2 linked regions of the Arabidopsis thaliana genome follow. The protein of the gene in region 2 interacts with the protein of the main gene of each other region in a pairwise test. Each region holds a gene or a part of one and is shown on either strand. Other genes may lie near its edges.

Region 1 (3,935 bases), on a different chromosome or scaffold from region 2:
CATTGCGCTATGGGATCAAAACAAAGATGGACCAGGCGAAGCATACCTTGCAGATATCTATAACAATACCGAGGTTTTGAAGTTTGTTCAAGAAAACTACATGAGGAATTTGTTGCATGACTCACTCGGATTCGGCGCTGCAAAGATGATTAGGTGAGAGAATCTTAGTCCATGAGATTTCTTTGTCGATCATATAAACTCAGAAACGTTGTTGACAGTGTTGGTTTGATGATATGGCAGGAGAATTGTGGGAGTGGCACATGTTGAGGACTTTGAATCAATCGAAGAAGATAAGCGAAGAGCTATTTGCGAGAGAAGTGCACTCGAGTTTGCGAAGATGCTTCTCAAGGAAAGGAGAAAGTTTAAGAGTATCGGTGAAGTTGTTTCAGCAATTCAACAACAAAGCTAAGACAATTTATAATGTTCTTCTGCTGAAGTTCTTGAAAGTCTTGTTTTGATCTTGGGAGTTAATTGGCAAGAAAAGTATCACAATGCTGCTTATCACATGGATTTGTAATTTAGTGGTTTGTGGTGGTGATGATGGTATTCAAATGCATTTTGTTACAATAATAATAATAAAAGTTTAGAAATATTTTCACTTTTGAAGATTATCTACTTATCTTTATGAGATTTGACTTCCACAATCTCTACTGGTTCACTGTTGGTGTGACTGGTGAGTGGTGACAAGATGGCAGAGGACCATAAATCAGCACCGTTAGTATTCGCCACGTGTACGGTCCAAGCTAGTGGAACAAGACATAAACCATTGCTTCTCAACTCTTTCACTTTCATCGTCGGGTTTACTTCTCCGGTGTCTTCGTCGTCCTGACGACACATCAACTATTCATCAGTCACAACACCGTCAAAATAGTAATCTTTTAAGTCTTAAAACAGTCGTTTCGAATCATGGAAAAATAAATATCTTCCGGTTTTATTGATAAAGACATAGAGTGTAACAAAAAAAGAGGATACCAAGAAAAAAGTGTAACAAAAAAATGAAATAAGATAATACAAAAGGATGATGGATGACTTACAAGAGGGTTATGTTTGAAGTAAGGGGTTGAAAGAACTTGAACTTGGTCTTGTAAGAATTTTATGTAACCCATTGTTTCATGCAACACTGATGCTGCATCTGTCTATTCAAATTTTCCAAATTACATTTTTCTTAGTTAAAATGTAGAAAGTAAACTAATTTTAATTACCAAAACACATAATGTACCTCCAAAACAGTAAAATATAGTCCGTGAATATCTCTCTACAAGTAAAGGTTTCAAGCTAATACCAAATGACGTAACTATAGTAAAAGTTTCAAGTTTACATCAAAATTTAATCACCTAGATTCAGGGTTTTGATTTTAGTTCAGTATTATGTTGATAAGAGATATATGAACCAAAAACAAAGAGAGAAGGTAACTTGTTTTAGTATATTGATCCACCTTGCCATATGGAGAAACCAAGTGCTGCAATGTTGTGATTTTTTCACCAACCTTTTCTTTCTTGACCTATTTTTATGAATAGCATTTGTTAATTACTATTATTCACCCAAATAGCTGATCCATTAGATAAGTATACATAAATATACACACTTTTAAAGCCAAACCTTAGCATTTCCAAGCGATGACTTCTTCTGATCTCGCTTGCATCTCTTACCGGGTTTTGGATCGCAAACCCGGTCGTGCCCATCAGCCGACCCGGTTTTCTTCTTCAAAACAAAGAGACAAACATTAAACAAAATAAAAATTATACATTATAATGATCTTGTGTTTGACTTGTTGCATGCACTGATGCATATACTTTTTAATGATCTTGTCACTTTACTTAATGACCTTAAAGCTTGGCTAAAATTTCAAATAATATTAACTGTAGGAATGTTTTACATATATATAACTTACATTGGATCTAAAAGATTGATCATTGACCACACAGGCGTTATTGCGTGAAGAGAGAGGGGAAGCGGGAGAGAAAGAGGGTTGTGAGAAGAGCAGATCGGTGTCGTTTTGGTTTCCTCCGCCGAAACAGAGCATTTGAGGAGCATCGTTTCCGGTGAATCTGAAACCAAAGCTGTCTTCTTCTACTTCACCGGAGCTAAGGACATCATCAGACATCATAAGAACATCAGAGAAGTTCATGACACCGTCTTCTTCGTCCGTTGTGCCTCTCATCGTAGAGTTTTTTTTTCTTTTTCTTGCTTAGGCTTGTTTGTGGAATTGACAGAGAAAGAAGAAAACAAGTGAAAAGGTGAGAAACCAGAAAAGAATAGTATCAATAAATGTATTTTAATAGTAAAAAAAGAAGATGAAAAATTGCATAATTTCAGTTATAGCAAGTAGCAACAATAGTTAACTATGATATTACATCAATGGGATAAGTTGGTAAAGGAGAAATCAGAAAAATGGTAAGGCAACTTGGCCCAAGAAAACTGTTGGTTTCTATTTACTCGAAATGATGAATTTTGTAAAACAAACTAATCAAACACAAAATGTTTACGGATAAAGATATTAAAATCCCAATAGAAAAGCTCGAGAAACTCACATTGATGTAAAACTCTCACATTTTGAATTAAAAAACATACTATTTTTTTCATTTAAAATAATAATAAAAAAGTGTGAAAACTGAAAAATTATTTTTACAAAAATAAAAAAGACAAAGATGTTTGACATGCGCGAAGAAGAGTGAGGTACGTACAGCTGCAAGACCACGCTAAATTTAGGAGGGTTGACAGAGTTGAGTAGTCCACAAGTTTAGTTTCATTTTTGGACACTTAAAAGGCTTAGGATACAAGTCGTCACTGTGTCTGTTTCATTGCTATGGTAAATTAACCAAAATAAGTAAATAACCATCCATAACTTTGACTGCTTCAGGCTGAACCAAATCAGTGTGTATGGCCTGTTTTCGTATCAATCTTTACATTAAGAGCAAGTCCATTGGGAGATCCTTAACAGTTTTTAACATAAATCCTTAAGTAATTTTGGAAAAAAATAAATCTAAAATGTGATTTAAACTTGGGATCGCACCTAATTTTAGAGTTTTTTCAGTTGTTAAGGTGCGCATACGTGGCAACTAATCATTGGTTGTGTTTTTTTGACAAAACTTTTTTTTTTCTTTTGCCGTGTTTTGTTTTTCAAATCGATTTTCCTCTCTTCTCTTCTCTTGTTAACTCCGGTGGCGATTGAGCGATTGGTGATCATCATCATCACGCGTTTATATCATCAAATTGGAAGAGATTATCGACGGAATTTGTCTCTTATCCATCGTGCTCATCATCTCAACCGACGGTGCTCAACGTCGACTAGTTTGGTGAACTTAATCGGAGAGGACTGTGAACCAAATCGGAGATGGGGTTTGTCACTTTTCGGGGTCTCTTATCTCAGTTGAAGTTGCTTTGTACCAGTGTTGTATCAAAAATTCAGAATCATTATCTTCTTTGCATCTTTTTGGAGTTATCAAGGAATCAAACCCATTTTATCATTGCAGGTAACGTGGATATATGAAGCAGATGTTTTTGGTGAATGATAAGTGCTTAACCATGATTGAACCACAGAAGAAATGGTCAAAAAGAATAGAAGAATTGATAAGTGCGTTACTTAGATTTAGGAGATCAAGCTCCACGTTTCCATATTCCCACTTTGTTAATAATGTTCTTTGTTTTTAGGATTAGTTGTCGATCCCCTTTGCTTTACTTTGTGTACTTAAAGACTGCCAAGTTATGAGAAGGAATTAGACTTGATTTGCCAAAAGAAACTTGTGTTTGTGTTGTGTGTTTACACATTCTCTTAGCTTTGAAGAGGGACCACCTAACAGGGAATCAGAGTTTTGTAAATAGAACCGTCACGGTAACGTCGAAATATTTTTTGAGTCAGAGACATTGATGAGTACATGAATCCTAATAGCTTTGTGTATAGGAATTGTCCCTCCGTAAGATGCCTTGCTCATAAT
Region 2 (3,935 bases):
TATGAGAGAGAGGGAGAGATTCACCTTGACTTGGAGTTGTAAAAACTTGACATAATCTATGATCTCATCGAGCATCGATGCCTTGTCTGTCTGTCCATTATTATACAAATAAAATACAAAAACAAAACTGTCAGAACTGAGATCCTAACTCATTTATTACTGCATTAGTTAACTTTATTATTGTAGCCTAATTAATTAATTAGCTAATCAGTGTTTAATCATTTGATTGATATATACTACTAGCTACTCCTATATATAGATAGACTACACAACCACCAATTATATGAGTAAAACAAAAAATATAAATTTACTTGTTAACTCCTGAAAGTTCTAGTTGACAGCCTAAAACTATCTCTTGAACAACTAGCTCCAAGAAAGTTCCTGATCATTTCGACACTTATTTTCATTATTTATTTTGTATTTTTTCAATTTTAGGTCTAGAAGATGAGAACTATAAATAGACGATGGAGTTTAAATTGTAAATTAGATGGAATTATGGATCGCACGAATCAAGAGTGGATGATGAATAAAATGATGGAAAGTGAAGTTTATTTTCATAATGATCCATTTAATATTTTAACTAATCTTAATTTTTGGAAACTAAACTGAAAATGAATTGAATAAAAATTTACCTTATTGCCGTTAGGAACGAGTTCTTGAAGAGCTTTCATTCTTTCCGCAATTCTCTCTCTTCGTAACTGTCCCATAAAAACATTTTTTCCAGAAAATACTCAAATCTTTTCTTCAAAAAGCTAAAAAAAATTCAATTTCGACACCTTTCTCGGTAACTGATACAAATTAATGCATCGAACAAAGTAAAATAAAAAACAAAAACAACTAACCCTTTCGGCGATACTATGAGGATCAGTTGCTTGACCTCTCCTAGCTCGGATTTTAGTCCTACTCTGCGGCGGAGCCGCCACCGTACCACCAGTAGCTGTAGACGCGCTCGCCTGAGGTTGCGTTTGCGTTTGCGTTTGTCCTTGTTGGTTCATCAATCCTCCTCCCGATCCCTATATTTCACCATAAGTCTCGTTTTCAAGAAGAGAAAAACTTAGAAAAGAGAAAGAGATTATACCTGAGGGATTTGAAAGTTAGGAAGAGATCCGGCGACGGAGAAGCCATTATAAAGAGCGTGGACGGAGGAGCCATCATTCAAAGGCATCATCATGATCGGCTGATTCCTTGAGTCGACATCGTGGCCGTGGAAGCCATCGGAGGGAAGAGGATGAGCATCATCGACGACGGAGGGCCACGGGGCCGAGGAAAAGATTTGATCGAGGAAGTCTTCGTGGTCGAAAGTTGTTGATGGAGTTTGGATATGGGAAGAAGATGAAGAAGAAGGAGTTAGAAGAGAAGAGTTCATCATGATGATGATGGGTTTCTTCTGCTTCTACACTTTTTTTTGGGAAGAGGTTGAAAAATGTTGAGGTTTATAGCTTTATTATAAAGCAGAATTGTTGTAGTCTTGTAGATATATTATTTTAATTTTAGGTTTTAATTATCATTTTTGGTGATATATTATTAAAACCTTAAAAGAACTTTTGTTTTTCTATTGTGGTTAGCAACCCATATTATATCGTGATGATGAATCGATGATTATCATCTTTTGTTTCGTTTCCGTCTTAAACTTTGGTTTCTCTTTACCCCAAATCTTAATCATTATTTTTTACAGCTTAATACGTATGAAAATAAGTCTTTTTTTAATGTACATATTGCTATCTAAAGAGTTTTATTTGATTATACTTTTTCAGATGCAAACTAGTTTTATTTTACTATACAAATATATATTAAACATTGATGGATAAGAAGTTTATTTATATGGTGCTAAGTGTAATAGCTAGCTTTTGTATACAATTATAGTTTTCTTAGATAACATTTATTGTTTAGCAATTTTATTATTTTTGTGTTTTCATGTAGTTTAATGATTTGTTTTGTTGTTGTAAAATAAATGTTGTTTTCATTTTTCTATACAAAAATTAAATATATTTAATATTTTTGATCAATTATATTTTGTTACATATTTTTTATTAATTAAATTAGGTGTAATTAATAATGTTTTTATAGAAAGGAAATAATTTAAATGAGATTTTTGTGTTTTGTTAATATGTGTAAAAAATCTTATATAAATATTATACTGTATATGGGTGATGATGGCATGCCCGTGATTATTAGTGCCTTTCTTACGTTTCAATTGTGGCTTCTAAAAATTTTACATGGACCAAGGAGTTACCTAATTAGTCCCACCAAAAACCAAATACAAGGAGGATATCCTTGTCCAATCCTAGATCTGATCGATTAAATAGAGGCTTGGATATTCACTCAAAAGGTTTTCCTAAGAAGTTGATTAACCATTTGGGTGGAATTCAAAATGTTCGAGCCATTTAGCCGGATAAACGTGAATTTATCCGAACCATACCAAAATCAAAAATACTTACTTACCCATTGAAAAATCCATTCGACCTAACGACGTTAACCTATTTTTTTTCTTTTCAGAGAGTACATCATTTTAAGGAGAATGATGAAACCAAACGACCCTTTGGATCGATGGAATTCAAGAGATGTACATTGGAGCTACCCAAAATGGTCTCGGACCACCTAAGTGTTACCCAATGATTAATCTAGCTACTTGACTATCTACAGATATACCTTAACTTCAAAATTCACTGGAAAACCAACCATTTTAATGAGAATGATCAAAAAATATTGGCTTTGGATTAAAGTAATTTAGGAGATGGTTAAAAGAGCACAGCCGCTGGTCGTTTACCCATATCTATGACCAGTTTCCAACCCATTTACTTCTAGCCCGACCAAAAACACTTGTAGTCCATCTTGGTAAGCTAATTAGTTTTACATGGTACTGCAAATTTGTTCACACACACATGGTGCATTTGTTCAACTCATATATACGAATGTTAAATAAGTTTTAAAATTGTAAATAAGTTTCTCATTATATAAAAATTTAGAATTTTCCGCAATTGATCATTAACTGAATTATGTATAGTACAAAATTACTCATAAAATGAAACATATTATATATTTATTAATACAATCCGAGAATGAAATATTACATTCATGTTTTAATAATCTTTTCACGATGATAATTGACAATGGTCTAAAATTATAAACTCGAGCAGGTACATTCATCAATGATGCTAGAGCTCTCGAAATTCTACTGTTTTTTTCTATGCCCCCAAGATCACAAACATCCTATCCCAAAGACGATACTCGTAAATTAATAATTACAAAATATGATAATAACTTTTTAAAATGAAATTCCCTATCAATATGATAACTTATCTTTTGAGCTAATCACGTACGACGTGGAGCTTTTTCTTTATAAATAGATAGTTATTATTCTTCTTTTTTTTTATTTTTATATGTAGCTGAAAATTTGGTATTTCTTTAGATTGTGCCACATTCACCATATACTCTTTTTGGGATAAATAATAACATTAAAATATTTGCAAACTTAATTTTTGTGTCCGGATGTTTGACACTTCTTCATTTGGATTCATTAACTAATACATTTAAGGTTTCGAGGTCTGTATTTTGTAGTCAGAAATATTGTTTTCCTCTTTTCCATTAATTGCTAACATGAACACATTTTAATGAAACAAAATCTCTCTATTCATTATATTTTTTTTATATAATTGCATTTTTTCACAATAAAGTTTTCTAATAATAAAATAAATCATAATAAATGCTTACGGGAGTTACGTCTCATTATCATAAAATATTTTTTGATTTCTTGTTAAAATATTCTTTTTGAAAAGTTATCTCAATTCATAGCTATTTTCTTAATTATAGTTATAGACAACAAAATTCGTGAAAGCATACTTATAAAAATCATATATGTGTGACTGTGTGCATGTATCTTCTCATGTTATAATGCACATTCATGCATATATGTATGTAGTGGTTCGTACCATGGA

Evidence for each region.
Region 1: the proteins of LRL1 (region 2) and AT1G49830 interact in a two-hybrid assay, tested with the Arabidopsis thaliana proteins (one large-scale study listed by BioGRID).

The regions. Positions count from the first base shown.
Region 1 is NC_003070.9:18,444,499-18,448,433, forward strand, and holds AT1G49830 (basic helix-loop-helix (bHLH) DNA-binding superfamily protein), read right to left. Parts: upstream 2,275-3,935; 5' UTR 2,162-2,274; coding exon 1,892-2,161; intron 1,702-1,891; coding exon 1,600-1,701; intron 1,502-1,599; coding exon 1,436-1,501; intron 1,137-1,435; coding exon 1,035-1,136; intron 853-1,034; exon of another isoform or gene 826-852; coding exon 613-825; downstream 1-612. Other genes in the region: MTK (S-methyl-5-thioribose kinase), read left to right, coding at 1-153, 241-409.
Region 2 is NC_003071.7:10,320,809-10,324,743, forward strand, and holds the start of LRL1 (LJRHL1-like 1), read right to left. Parts: upstream 1,616-3,935; 5' UTR 1,370-1,615; coding exon 1,079-1,369; intron 1,050-1,078; exon of another isoform or gene 1,014-1,049; coding exon 843-1,013; intron 699-842; coding exon 633-698; intron 91-632; coding exon 25-90; intron 1-24.